Diceros bicornis minor: one gene and its partner. The protein of the gene in region 1 purifies or fractionates together with the protein of each later gene. This does not show direct contact. Links are inferred from orthologs where the notes say so. Each region holds a gene or a part of one and is shown in the gene's direction. Other genes may lie near its edges.

The links. Proteins that work in one complex are often made in the same cells at the same time.
Region 2: the proteins of JUNB (region 1) and ATF3 purify together in Homo sapiens (affinity purification with mass spectrometry; 3 studies listed by BioGRID and IntAct, counting the BioPlex papers as one, with this or other methods). This does not show direct contact. The link is inferred for Diceros bicornis minor from reciprocal best matches to the Homo sapiens genes JUNB and ATF3.

The regions. Positions count from the first base shown.
Region 1 is NC_080769.1:4,564,338-4,570,745, reverse strand, and holds JUNB (transcription factor JunB), read left to right. Parts: upstream 1-4,046; 5' UTR 4,047-4,344; coding exon 4,345-5,388; 3' UTR 5,389-5,889; downstream 5,890-6,408. UniProt on the Homo sapiens protein: Transcription factor involved in regulating gene activity following the primary growth factor response. Binds to the DNA sequence 5'-TGA[GC]TCA-3'.
Region 2 is NC_080743.1:78,227,267-78,234,619, forward strand, and holds the start of ATF3 (cyclic AMP-dependent transcription factor ATF-3), read left to right. Parts: upstream 1-4,336; 5' UTR 4,337-4,516; intron 4,517-7,353.

The DNA.
Region 1 (6,408 bases):
CCTGGGGGAGGACCTCCATGATTTTCGGCCTCTTCCTGCCCAGCTGCGTGTCCACACCCAGGGGCAGGGACTCCGGAGGCTGGGTGCTATGACTTGTGGGTTCTCGCCCTGGCCTGCCCACTGGCTGACTCACCGGCAGCCCCCGGCCCAGTTTCCTGGTGAGGGCCCCACCGGTCAGTAGGGCCACGGGGGAGGGGGTCACTAGGCTATTTATAAGAAGGAGAAGTCCCTCATGCCAGGGCCAAAAGCCCCAGAGAGACCCGTGGGTGGGGGTGGGTGAACTTCCTCCTTATCCCGCTCCCCCCCAGCGCTAGGCCCCTGGGAGGGGGAAGCCTGGGCACAGACTTCCCAGCCAGATGCTGGTCTGAAGCCCAGGGCCTGGGCAGTACCCAGCTGCCAGTCTGGGCACCCCAGCCAGGTGGGGGAGGGGGCTATCCTCACACTCTCCTCACTTTGGCCTTGGCGCCACTGGGGCGGCGTGAGGGGGTGGTGCCCAGGCCACAAAGGTGAGACTGGCAGGGCCTGGAACCGGCTGTACCAGCTTGGCTGGGCCCCCGCCCTCTCGCACTGGCCCAATCCCCACTCCTTGCTCAGACACCCATGCAGAGCGCATGCAGCTACCCGACCCCACTGCAACACGCCGGCCGGCGCCCACACACACCAGCACCCCTCTGCCCTGTGCCCAACCCCATCTCTCTTCCCATGAGAGAAGACCCTTCGTGAAAGAGCCTGCAGAGCTTGGCATACAGCTGGTGCCGCATAAACGCCTCTCTGGTTGTGATTATCCACAGGACAGTGGCTAATGCTCTGCAGCCAGACCGCTGGGGTTATGTTCCAACTCCAGCACTTACAGCTCTGGGACATCAGGCAATTCCTTACCTTCCTGTACCTCAGTTTTCACGTCTGTTAAATGGGGATAGAAACAGCATGCATTTCGCTGGGTTGTTAGAAGCAGGCAATGAGTTACTCAAATCACTTAGAAGAATGCCAGGCCCATGGTAAGAGCCATATAAGTGTTAGCTATTAAAATAATAACTATTATTTCTCAGTCTGTCGACCTATCTTAAGTGTCTCTGAGTTTTGCTGTCTGTCTGCATGACGCTAACCCTACCCCGGTTTGTCTCTCTGGGCGTCTCTGCCTGTGCTGACCCCCGCCCCCACACAACTGCTTGTCCTCGCTCAGTCCTTGCCCTCCATCTCCATCCTCTCCTGGCCAGCCTCGCCTCTCTCCAGGACCCCCCTGGCATGGCCAGCCTCAGCACTGGCCAGGGCTGACTTGCTGTGGCCTCCTGGCCCGTGGGACCTGCAGGCTGGCTTCCCAAGGTGCTGCCCTCCCGCCAGACCTGCCCAGCCCCCCAACGCTGCCCGCTGCGCCCCCGCAGGGCCCAGCCAGATGTCAGCTGCAGCTATTAGCATGGGCGGGAGACACAGGCCTGGCAGCGTGCCCGCCAGACTCAGCGGCCACTGGAATCTCCCTTGAGCCTGGGGCGGGGGAGGGGAGCTGTTCAAGCAAGGGGAGGAGGCCGAGGGGGCACCCAGGGGTCACAAGGACCCTCCAGAGACGGGAGGCCCCCAGCTTCTCCTGGGATCTTCCTCCCCAACACCACTGCTCTGCTGGACTTCCCCCTGCCCCCACATAGCTCAGTTTCTTTTTCGCCTCTTTCGTTTTCCTTCTCTCCCCCACACTTGCTGAGCTCTGTGCTTGCCCTGCAAAGACTGGCTAGCCCCTGTCCCTCAGCCCCTCTCTACCCTAAAGAAACTTCCATCTTCCCAGAAAATAGAGGCCTCTCTCTGAGAGAAAAAGAGAGAAAGAGAGAGAGAGAGATGGAGCTTCTCACCTCTTGTTCTAGAGGCTCACATCCTAACTGCTTGGAAGTCTCACCTTAAGTCTAACTAGAAACCTCGTCATCTAAACCTCCACTCAGTCCCAGGGAAGGAGCTCTGGAGGGGTTCCCTCAGATCTCGCCACGGATTCTCAGGTCCCCTCTGTTTGGAGGAGAGGGGAACCCCCTAGGTATTCTGGATGGTTGACAAGACCCTCAGACTAAAACAGGAGTAGGGCCCCTCACCCACATGAGTGAGAGGGGGCACACCAGCTCCCAGGGGTGTTTGTGGGGAGGGGCCACAGACCTCACGGCAGAAAGGAAGGGCACCCCGCCCGAGGGAGGAGGCAGCCGTGCCAGCCCGCCCAGGCGCCGGGGGAGCCTCCAGGCATTGGCCCGCCCCCTCCGCGCCCCGTCGGGCCAGGGGCGAAGTCCGACCCAGGCCCGCGGGCAGGCGGGGACCTGCCGGGCTGGGTCGGGCCGGGCCGGGCCAAGGCTGGCAGGACGCGGCCCCAGAGCGGCTGGGTGGGGCCGGGCCAGGCGGCCGTGGGGGCCCTGGGGGCGGCGGCCAGGGCTGGTCGGGACTAGCCGTCCGGGGGCCCGGGCGCGCCCGGGAACCTGGCAGATACCCGGACTCCCGGCTCCTGGCTCGGGGCCCCGGGACAGCGCTGGCCCCACCCCTTCCTGTGCCCTTATATGGGCGTCGGGAGAGACTCCGGGGGCCGCCCCGCCCCCAGCCCTGCCCGCGGACTCCGGCCTGTTGCCATGGCTACCAGGCCCTGCTCCCCGGTGCGTCCCCCTCTGTCGGGTCAATGGAATCGTCCCGGGCCTGCCTGCCTCCGCGATCGCTTGCGAGCCCCCGCGGGCTGAACCATTGCTGGAGGGGGGGGATGTGACTGGGGGCCTCTGCAGCTGGGCGGGTTCCGCGCACGCTGGCCTCCGGAGGGGTCGCACGCCCAGGTTCCTCTTCCGAGGCGCACAACCCAGCCGGACCCAGGGCGGGGCGCACGGTCCCGTAGGATCCGAGTGACGGAGGCAGGGCCGGGCTCCTTCCCCGGGGGCTGTTGCCACACTTCCTGCTGCGGCGCTCTTTCCCCAGCCTGTTTCTAAGGAAGGAGTGGGGTTGGGCGACCGCGCCCCGGCGGTCAGGCTGGGTCCAGGCACCAGGAGCCGGCACGGTGTCGGTCAAGCCCAGGGTCACTGGGGGAGGTCTTTGGGATGGGGACAGAGTATACAGGCGCCTAGAGGTCACCCACGAGAGGGGGCGCCAATCATGGAAGATCCAGCAGTACAGGTCCCCAGGATCCTCAAAGACCCCTCCTCTCATGTCTCAGCCGGGGACCCTCTGTCATTGTCATCTCAGTTCTGAAGGTGTGCCCCGATCCCTCTAATTCTCTTTCATCAGGGCTTTGTAGATAACCCCAGTGACCCCCAATCTCTGACAGTCTCCATCTTCTACCCCACATATTTTCCCTTACTCACTGTACCCCAGAACCCTCACTTTCTGCATATCTAGATACCCCCAATTCCTTCCCCTTCCCACTTGTGGGGGCCCCTCAGTCTCTCCCATGGACTCCAGGACCCCTACTCGTTTTTTGCATGATGGGTCCTCCGGCTCCTCCCCGTCTACCCTTTTGATCTCTCCCCCTCCTCATTTTTCCTGGGTTCAGCCCCTCTCGTGAAAATTCCAGTCCCCCAACCTCTCTGTACCCAGGACCCCCGTCATTCCTGAGTCAGGCGTATTTTTACCCCTCCCCCATCTACTCTACTTAACCCTCCCGTCTCTTCTTTGTGGGGTCTCCGGTGTATTCTCAGTCCTCCAACCCCTTTCGGATACTCTGGGTCCCTCAGGCCTCTCCATGGACATCCTGGGATTGGGACCCCCCCCCCCCCCGCGCGCACACACTTGCTCTGTATCAGTTCCTCGTATCCCTTATCGCGTACTTCAGGGGGATCATGCCCTTCCTGGAGCCCCTCCCCGACTGCCCTAGCAGCCCCTTCCTCGCGCACCCTGGGGTCCCCTGAGCCCCTCCCCCTGCAGCCGCGCCGAGCCACCCAGCCCGTGGCCGCTGTTTACAAGGACACGCGCTTCCTGACAGTGACGCGAGCCGCCTCCTCCCCTTCCCCACGCTCAAGGGGGGGGGCGCGGGGGCCCGGCTCCAGCAACGGCCAATCGGGGCGCACTTCCGCAGCTGACTATCGCGGTATAAAGGCGTGTGACTCCGACTGAGCGGCTGGGACCTTGAGCGCGGCCAGGCCAGCGTCGGAGCCAGCGGGGAGCGGGGAGCAGGGGGAAGCGACACCAAGAAAGCGGGCGCGCCAGAGAGGGGCAGAGGAGCTCGAGAAGCCGCACAGAGCTTCCGCGCACAGCCGCCGGCTGGCGTCTCCCGGCCTGTTCCAGCCCCTAGGAACGCGCGTCCAGACGCCCAGTCCAGCCACCGCCGCGGACAGCGAGCCGCTCGCTGCAGCGAGGCCCGGGGCGGCCCCGCAGGGACCCCGCCAGACCGCCCGGGCCGCCCGGATGTGCACTAAAATGGAACAGCCCTTCTACCACGACGACTCATACGCAGCGGCGGGATACGGCCGGGCCCCGGGCGGCCTCTCTCTACACGACTACAAACTCCTGAAACCCAGCCTGGCGCTCAACCTGGCCGACCCCTACCGAGGTCTCAAAGCTCCCGGGGCGCGGGGCCCCGGCCCAGAGGGCAGCGGTGGCAGCAGCTACTTTCCCAGCCAGGGCTCGGACACAGGCGCGTCACTCAAGCTCGCCTCATCGGAGCTGGAGCGCCTGATCGTCCCCAACAGCAACGGCGTGATCACGACGACGCCCACGCCCCCGGGACAGTACTTTTACCCCCGCGGGGGTGGCAGCGGTGGAGGTGCGGGGGGCGCGGGAGGCGGCGTCACCGAGGAGCAGGAAGGTTTCGCCGACGGCTTTGTCAAAGCCCTGGACGACCTGCACAAGATGAACCACGTGACGCCCCCCAACGTGTCCCTGGGCACCAGCGGGGGGCCCCCGGCCGGGCCCGGGGGTGTCTACGCCGGCCCAGAGCCGCCTCCCGTCTACACCAACCTCAGCAGCTATTCGCCAGCCTCAGCGCCCTCCGGAGGCGCCGGGGCCGCCGTCGGGACCGGGAGCTCGTACCCGACGGCCACCATCAGCTACCTCCCACACGCGCCGCCCTTCGCCGGCGGCCACCCGGCGCAGCTGGGCCTGGGCCGCGGCGCCTCCACCTTCAAGGAGGAACCGCAGACCGTGCCTGAGGCGCGCAGCCGCGACGCCACGCCGCCGGTGTCCCCCATCAACATGGAAGACCAGGAGCGCATCAAAGTGGAGCGCAAGCGGCTGCGGAACCGGCTGGCGGCCACCAAGTGCCGGAAGCGGAAGCTGGAGCGCATCGCGCGCCTGGAGGACAAGGTGAAGACACTCAAGGCCGAGAACGCGGGTCTGTCGAGCACTGCCGGCCTCCTCCGGGAGCAGGTGGCCCAGCTCAAACAGAAGGTCATGACCCATGTCAGCAACGGCTGCCAGCTGCTTCTTGGGGTCAAGGGACACGCCTTCTGAGCGCCCCCGTACAGACATTCCCCCAGCCTGGACGGCTGGGCGCACGCCTCCCACGGGGCGAGGGGGCAGGCGGTGGGCACCGGACCCGGAGCCTGGGGACGCCGCACACCACACTGGACTCCTGCCCGCACGCTCTGCGCTCAGTCCTTCCACCTCGACGTTTACAAGCCCCTCTTCCACATTTTTTTGTATGTTTTTTTCTGCTGGAAACAGACTAAGTCATATTGAATATAATATATTTGTGTATTTAACAGGGAGGGGAGGAGGGGGCGATCGCGGCGGAGCTGGCCCCGCCGCCCGGTACTCAAGCCCGCGGGAACACTGGGGAGGGGACCCCCGCCCCCTGCCCTCCCCCCTCTGCATCGTACTGTGGAGAAGAAACACACCCTTGGACTCTACAGAGTTTATTTTAATATGTGTTTGTGTGTGTGTGCGTGAGTTTGTCGTTCCCACTTTTTATTGAATCTATTTAAGTAAAAAAAAAAAATGGTTCTTTATTAATTTCTGTTGTCTTTTTTTCCAAGCCGGGCGGGCGGAGGGAGGAGAGTACTGGGCTGCCCCCACCCCACTGCTGTTTGTGGCTCGCTCCTGTATCCGGGTTCCCCTCGCCAGCTCTGCCCAGGCATCTTGCAGCTCCAGCTCGAGCGTCCAACCCTACTCGCGTCCGCTGATCTCTGGGGTTGGAAGGTCCAGGGCGGGGACGCGGTCCAGCCGCCCAGCACCAGGGGGCAGAGTGCCCCGGGCGAGGCGCGCAGTGCGCAGGTGCGGCCCCGCCCAGCCGCGCGCCGGGGCTTTCCCCGCTGACGCAGCGGAAGCGCTGCCCATATTTGGGCCGATTCTGCCCAGTGACGCGCCGGCGGTCTCCGGGCAGATTCCGGGAATCCCCTCCCCCGCTCTGCCCGGCAGGGCCGCGGAGCCGGGAAGGGGGCCGGGATTTTCCCAGGCAGGCGGCTGCCGGGACCCGGAAAGCCCCAGGCCTGGGTCCAGAGCGTGCGCGGTGGGCGGGCCGCGCTCCTGCGC
Region 2 (7,353 bases), on another chromosome or scaffold:
ATTGAAATGAGTCTGTCCTTGTGCTATTCAATCCCTTCCCCTTGCTTCCTTCTCTCCCTGCAGCTTTCTTAGGAGAGGTTGCCAGGGACTCCTGAAGCAGGATTGTCTCAGCAGAAGGTGTCCATTCAAGAGCCCCAGAGCTCAGTCCAGCGCCCCTCATTTCAGAAGGGAGAGTGCCTTGCTCAAGGTTATCAAAGGCAAAACCAGACCAGAAACCAAACCCCCTGCTCCCATCCCAGGGCATTACACTGGGTCATTGGGAGCCTGAAGCACTGGTCTGCCCTGCTCTGGGGAGAGCCTGGGGTGTGTACCAGAGTCGCGTGGAGAATGGGGATCACTCTCATTGTTTTCTGTGTGGAGTGTCGTCTCTGCTCCCCTGAAGATGGTCCTCTCTGGGTACAACTCGACTTCATCCACAACTATTTGCCACTGACTAGGGGGACAGAATGGGCTCCAGGAGAGATTCAGGGGTATCCTCAGAATGCCCTCCTTGATTCATAATTAATGATACCACTACTGAAGACTGGCTGTGTGCCCCATCCTCAATGCATCCTCCCAACAAATTTACGGGTTAGCTGCTAGTGTCAGTGCCATTTTTCAGCTGTGGAAACTTAAGTGCAGAGAGTGAAATGACTTATCCAAGGTGACGCATTCGCTACGTGCTGAATCCAGAACCAAAGAGCCAGCTTCCACACTTCAGAGCCCACTTCAGAGCCCTGCTTCCCTGAGGTTCCCGAGTCACATTTCGGAGATTCTTAAATTAGTAATCCCCACATTCAAACTGACATTATAGAAGGTTTTGGCTTTGGAAAGTAGGACAGAGAGGAAGAAAATCCACCCCACTCCCTTTCTGAGGTGAAGAAGTGGGTTGAGCCAGGAGGACAGGGCTGCCAGTACCCTGCTGCTTCCTGGAATGATCTTACCTGGTGTTTAACCCCCTCCGTTGCTCTGTGAGCAAACAGGATCTTGGGGTTTGAAGAAGAGTAATGGGGGTGGAGGCAGGAGTGGAAAGGGACTGTTCCCTGGACCAAGAAACTGCTAAAATCTTTAAATATCTCTTGAACTTTTTTTTTTCTTTTGGCTCCCTGCAATGTTTTGGTGTTTAGATTCGGTTGCCACGAGGGGGGCTGTTTTTAGCTGCCTAGTTCCTTCCCCTCCCCTTTTAACTTCTTTCCCTTCCTTTTGCACATGCCCCAGCACGAAGTTTCCAATTCTTATCTCACTCAGCAAAATATACCAAGGCTGGTCTCAATGTGGATTCCCCAGGCGGTTCTCCAGTGTGAAACCTCAGCAATATTCAAGTCTCTGCTTAACCCTCTTTCATTGAGGATTAACCCCTGAAATAACCCTAGCCAGGGCTTCCTTCTCAGGGGGGAGAGGCATTCTTTGCCTTTGTATGGAGAAGCATTTTGGTCTGGGGAACTTTTCCTGCCTCTCCTCTAGATGGTACAGAGTGTGCACATTGGACATTGGTGGCATTAACTAAAGTCAGGGTAAAATGAAGAGGCACAGGACTCAGATACTGATCACCCTGGTGGCACACACCTTGGGGATCTTCCCTTCCACTGCTCTTTCCTAGTCTCTCTCCAGGCATTTCACAGTTCTCCTGGGGGCTGGGGGCAGGGAGGCAGGCTGGAGTAGTTTTTGTTTTCCTTGGATAAGAGTTTCATTCACAAGGAGGTGGACTTACTTCTCTGTCAAGATTCTTATGCTTTTAGAGTTTCAGTGGGAAAGCAGGCAGAGAGTGTCAGGCTCTGACTTCGAAGAAGCGCTGACAGCATTTCTATCCAGGTGTGACTTGGAGATTCCAACTCAAGAATTTTATTAGAACGAAACAATGGGAGGCAGGATGGTAATAAAAATAAGCTGACCAGGGGTTGTGGACTTCGCTGTCTTGATTACCTTTCTCTTGCATTGTTTTGTGGAGGCTGTTCTGTTTGTTTACCCTATGCTCTAAATGGAATTTCCCCTTAAGGACAGGACTAAGCCTCCACGAATGTGGCTTGGATGTATTAATGGAATAATAGTTTAAAATGTAAACTGGTTCAAGATTTCTGTAGGCACTTCACAGAGGGGAAAAAAAGAAAAAAGCTTTCACGTGTTCTCCCCCATCTCCTTGTTTCATTTTATAATGGTGCAATTTATTCAAAGCTAGGAGATAAGTAGATATAATAGATAAGTAGAGAATCCCTAAAACTTTCATGTGAATTTGCAAAACACCCTTCCTTCTGGTCTCGCGGCGTTCTAGGGGTTGTGCCTACATGCCCGGGGTTTACCTGCCTGCGGGGTTTACCGCAGGAGGGCGGGGAATGGGGGTGCGGAGAGGTGTGAGGCGGTGTGGGCGTGGAGGCTGGAGGGTGGCGCCGGGAGAGCCGTTACCACGGCGAAAAGTAAAGCAAAAACAACCGTCTCACGCTTCCCGCGCGACGCTGCTGGAAACCTGGTCATGTCCAGGGCCACATCGCGGAGGATCCTGCGTGGAACCCCGAGGTTCCCAGACGAGCAGGAGGAGGGGGCACTTCCGAGGCCACCCTCCTCCTTGTCCTGGGCCCAAGGCTTGGACGGGTGGGGGGTATTCTAGGTGAGGCTGGGGCTTGGGGGAGAGGATCGCGGGTGTGGGGGACTCAGTTTGACCTGCAGCTCAGAGGGTCTCTGCCCCAGACTGCTGGGCAATCGGAAGGGCTGGGGAAAGGGACAGGGATTTCCCGCGGGTGCGGGACTGTGTATTTAAGGCGGAGGGGGCGGCAGGTGCGGTGGGGTGCGACTGTGGACTAGACCCGGACTCCGAGACCCTTCTGGCTCTTACCCCAAATTGCCAAACTATGACCGTCAACCGCCTCTCTCCCAAGAGGCAGGTAGAAGAAGGTGTTTCTGCCCCCGGCCGTGCCCCCACACCCCGCGGGCGCGCGCGGGTCACCCGCCCAGGCAGGTTCGAAACGTCGCAGGCTACACTCGCGTCCATGGGTGTCCCTGGGCAGTTGAGAAGGTCCCTGGTTCTGCCGCTTTCGAAGCCGAGACAATTGGAGTCGGAGAATCGGAATGGGGAAATCGATTTTTAAGGTTCAAATCCAGTTCTGCTGAAGCCTTGGCTCGAAGCTGGGGCCATCGGACCTCGCCTTTCCCGCCACCCGGGCTCGAGGGCGGAAGGGATTTCTGCTACCCGGCCTCATTTCGGCTGCGGTCAGTGCGCCCCGAGTCCGGGCTGTCCTGTCGCAGCCCAATCCGCTCTGGGCGCAGAAAAACGTGTGAAAGCCGAAGATGGGTTTTCCCTAAATCTTGCCTGAGATCGAGGTCACCCTTGCCCCGCCCGGCCCGCGGAGACCGAAGCACCTTCTCTTTGCTCTCTCCCTGGCCGCTCGGCTTCAGCCCCACTCTTATCCCCTCTGATTCGCCTCTGATCTCTCCAGGTCTCTGGTCTTTCGATGGTCTTGTTCGTTTCACTGAGAATCTCCCTCTCAAACACTTTGTGGTTGTTAAAAAATCCTAATCCACACCGTCCTACTACTCGCCCTCGCCCCAGAGGCGGGTTCCCAAACGGTCCGGAGGCGGTTCCGCGTGTGCGCTCGTGTCGGCTGTGCCGGAGCTGCGGGCGCACGGTGCCCGCCCAGCGCTGCCCTCCGCGACTGGGTTAACCGGCAGCCTCCTCGCGGTCTCTGCCGCGGAGGTCACCCCCGGCGGGTAACGGTGTGGAGTCCCGGTAGGGTGCCTTTGGGCACCTCTCCCACACCGGAGACCAACGCTTCTGCCCCTACCCCGCCCCTTACTTGAGAAGGGGGTGTTTAGCGTGGGGAGGAGATATTTTCTTGAAGCTCTAGAAAATGACCACGCATTTTAGAAAAAGGTCGTGCCCGTTTCCCAGCCTCACCTAGTCTGGGCTGCGGCCAAGACCCACCCCTCCATCTTCCCCCCCAAACCTAGCGGAGGGAGAGATGCCAGCGCGGTGGAGTCATGCCGCTGGCTTGGGCACCATTGGCTCATGCCTGGAACACGCAGCGGGGAGTACGCACATCTGGCGGCCAGCCCGAGCGGCTCCGGTCCTGATATGGAGAGAGAGGGCGGGCGGGTGTGTGTCCCAGCGTGCGAAGCCGGGAGAACGCGCCCCGGCCGGCTCCTCCCCAAGCTTGCATCACCAGTCCCCGCTTTGGCCCCTCCTTCCCCCGCCCCTCCCTTTGCCCAGCCTAGTTCGGCTGGTTCTCTGGGGAAGCTATTAATAGCATTACGTCAGCCTGGGTCTGGTAACCCAGAGTAAACGGGCGTGTCGCCAGCCTGAGAGCTATAAAAGGGGTGATGCAACGCGCTCCAAGCCACAGTCGCACGCAGCTAGACGCGCGCTGCGGAGCGCTGTCCCGGCGCAGCAGTCCCAGCCGACCCACCAGCCCGCGCGCCGGCCGTGCGTCCTCGGTGTTCGCCCGCCGGCCCCACAGACAGACAGACAGCCCGACCCCGCCCTGACCCCGCCCGCCCTCTGGACCCTGGCCGCCCGGAGGGGAGACAGGAGGTGAGCGCTGGAAGACGAGTGAGTGAGCGCTGCGAGGGTGGCTCGCTTTCATTCCCTTTGCGACCCTCTAATAACCAGTCCCCCGATCCCTGCGCCCACCCCCGACCCGCACGCCCAGGCTCCAGCTTCGAAAGAACTCTGGCTGAACTTCTCCCAGACACGGCTGCTCCTCAGCACTTGGGAAAGTTTCTCGCAAAGAACTTTCTCTTTTGACATGGGGCGCGAAAGGTTTCTGGTGAACAGAGAGGTCGGGCTTCCGCTCCTCTCCGCCCTCGGCACTTACTTACCCCACTAGGAGCGGGTGTGGGGAAGTGGGTGCGCGGGGGTGTCTGAGACTGTCCGGCTCGCCATCCGGCTCCATCCCTCGCTTCGTGTCCGGGCACTGCCACTCCCGAGCCCAGCCTTCCGGAGGTCCGCAGAGAGGTGCGGAGGCCGGGTGCTCGCGGAAGGGCTGTGCTAGGAACCGAACGGAATGAATGGGGAAGGGACGGGCGAGCCGGGGGCGCGGGCGCGGCCGCTGGGGGTCGCCCTGCGCATCGCGGAGCGCTGGCTCAGGACCGCTCAGGGAGCCCGGAGCGAAAGTTAGTTGGGATAAGTTTAGAGGTGGCAAGCACTCATGTCGCTGTCCTGGGGCAGAAGGCGGAGAGGGCTCCCGGCACAAGCTGATGTTGGGCTTCTGGGCCGGAGGCTTCCTGTCCCAAGTCCCTCACACGCTTTTCCCTCATACCTGTGACTCTCGCTCTGGCTCTCTCTCTGGTGGGTTCTCGGATTTCTTTGCTTTGCGTCCGTGGAGACCCACCGTGGGGGGAAGCCAGGGTGCAAAGCCAGTTCAGATAATTGGGAGAACGGCTTTGTGGTCTAGTGGCCAGGCCCTGAGAGCTTATACTACACTTGATGTCCTTGAGCCTCAGTATCCCCAGCTGGGAGATGTGGGCACATAGGCACTACTGGCCTTCTTTGCTTGTTTGCGAGCACCAGGGGGTGTTTGGACTGGATAACCAGTAAAGTCCTTTCTGGCTAAAGATTTTCAGATTCTAGAGTGGTGTAATTGAAACAAAAGGGGCCGGTGAGGGGACTTGAATGACTTGAATGAGGAGGGTCGCTATCTAATGTCACCGACCAGCTTCTGAGGCAGTGGGGGAAAGGGGCCTTCTCTGTGGGGCATCTCTTCCTTTCCCAACTTTCTTCCCATTGGATTGGTTCTCATTCTCTGCTGCCCCACACCCCATTTTCATTTCATCTACTTACTTCCTTTCCTCCTAACCATTTTCTTTTCCCTAATTTTGTTACCTACTTCTCATATGCTCCCTTACAAATAGAGGAGTTGCTAAATCCTTGATGAAGCCAGAAAAAAAAATTGGGGATGCTAGAAAATCTGGGTGCTCTCCAAAGTGTGGGTGACAGTCACATCTATTTGGGGCCTCTGTCTCCCCAACTGTAAACGAAGGGGAAATTGGTATTACTGTCCCCCTTGTTCTGTGTTTAGCATTTGTTGTAGAATAATGCTACAACATATAGGCTCTTGCTTTGAAGATATCCTGGACAAAGCCTGGGGTGGTGGTGGGTTTTGCAGTTGTTAATGTCTGCACAGTTGCAGAGACAGCATGGCAGGTGGCAATCCAGGCCCATACTGTGCATAAGATACAGACAGCACCCAGCACCTCTGGCAGCTATTGGAGCCTTCTGAGCCTTCTTGCCTTAACCCCACCCTTCTCTCTCTCCCTCTTGGCCCTTCCTCTCCATTGTTCTCTTTCTTCTATACTCTGTCCCTGTCTTAGTCCTGTCAAAGCCTCCTCTGTAGTGGGTACCAGGTTACAGGACTATGAGGGGTAGATGACCCCTCATCTACCTTTGCCGTATTGGTTGATCCTCATAGTGTTGGATCTCTTTTGGTGATGGAGCAAAATGAGCAGCGGGTGGGTGGTCAACAGCTTGGCCTGGGCTGGGGCACTCACCAGCTTTATGGCCTTGGGCAAGTCACTTTACCTTCCTGGACCTCACTTTACTCAATTACAAAATGAAGATCTGACCTAGATGACTCCAATACTGGGTGTTCTATCCCATTGTATAGAGCCCATGATTTCTTGCTTTTTCGAATTGTCTGGGTGTGGAACAGGGTCAGTGGTCCCAAGTGTTACCCAGGCTAGGGAAGAGGAAGTACATAGCCAGGATACCACAGAAACCAGAAATGGTTTCATGTGTGAGAACTGGTTATTTCTTAAGTATGTAAGACCAGTGGAGGCAAGCTGGTGCCAGGAAATAGTGGGGTGGAATTGACCTGGTGTGTCAGGAGCCCAGAAGTCAATCAAAGTACAAAAGAAGCTGTGAGTGACCTAAATTTCTTGAGGGTTCAAGTTAATTCCCAATTAACGGGCTAACTGACATTGACAACGATATTATGAGTTTCCCCTGAAATGGAGAAAGTGGGATCGCAGTAATAATGGCTACCAGTATGTGTGTAAATCCACCATCATGAATCTTATACGATCTTCCTGACAGCCCCATGAGGGAATTGGAGCAGGCAGTATTGGTCTCATTTTACAGACAGGAGACTGAGGCCCAGAAAGCGTGAGTGACTTGTCAATGGGTGCTCAGCATGTGAGTGGTAGTGATAGGGCTGGAAGCATCGTCTCTAGTCCTGAAGTCTGGACACCTACACACCTACAGCCTTCAAGTAGGCTGGGAGAAAGACCAAGATACGAAGTTATGAAAGACCAACATTGGCTTCCTACTGTAAGATGTTTTATGAGCAGTGCTTACTGGAAAGAGATGAAAATTAAAAGTGAAAATTCAACGTTGTTGTAGCTGCTAGGAAATAAAATCTGGGAGCTGAATTTCCAGTTACAGAAATACAT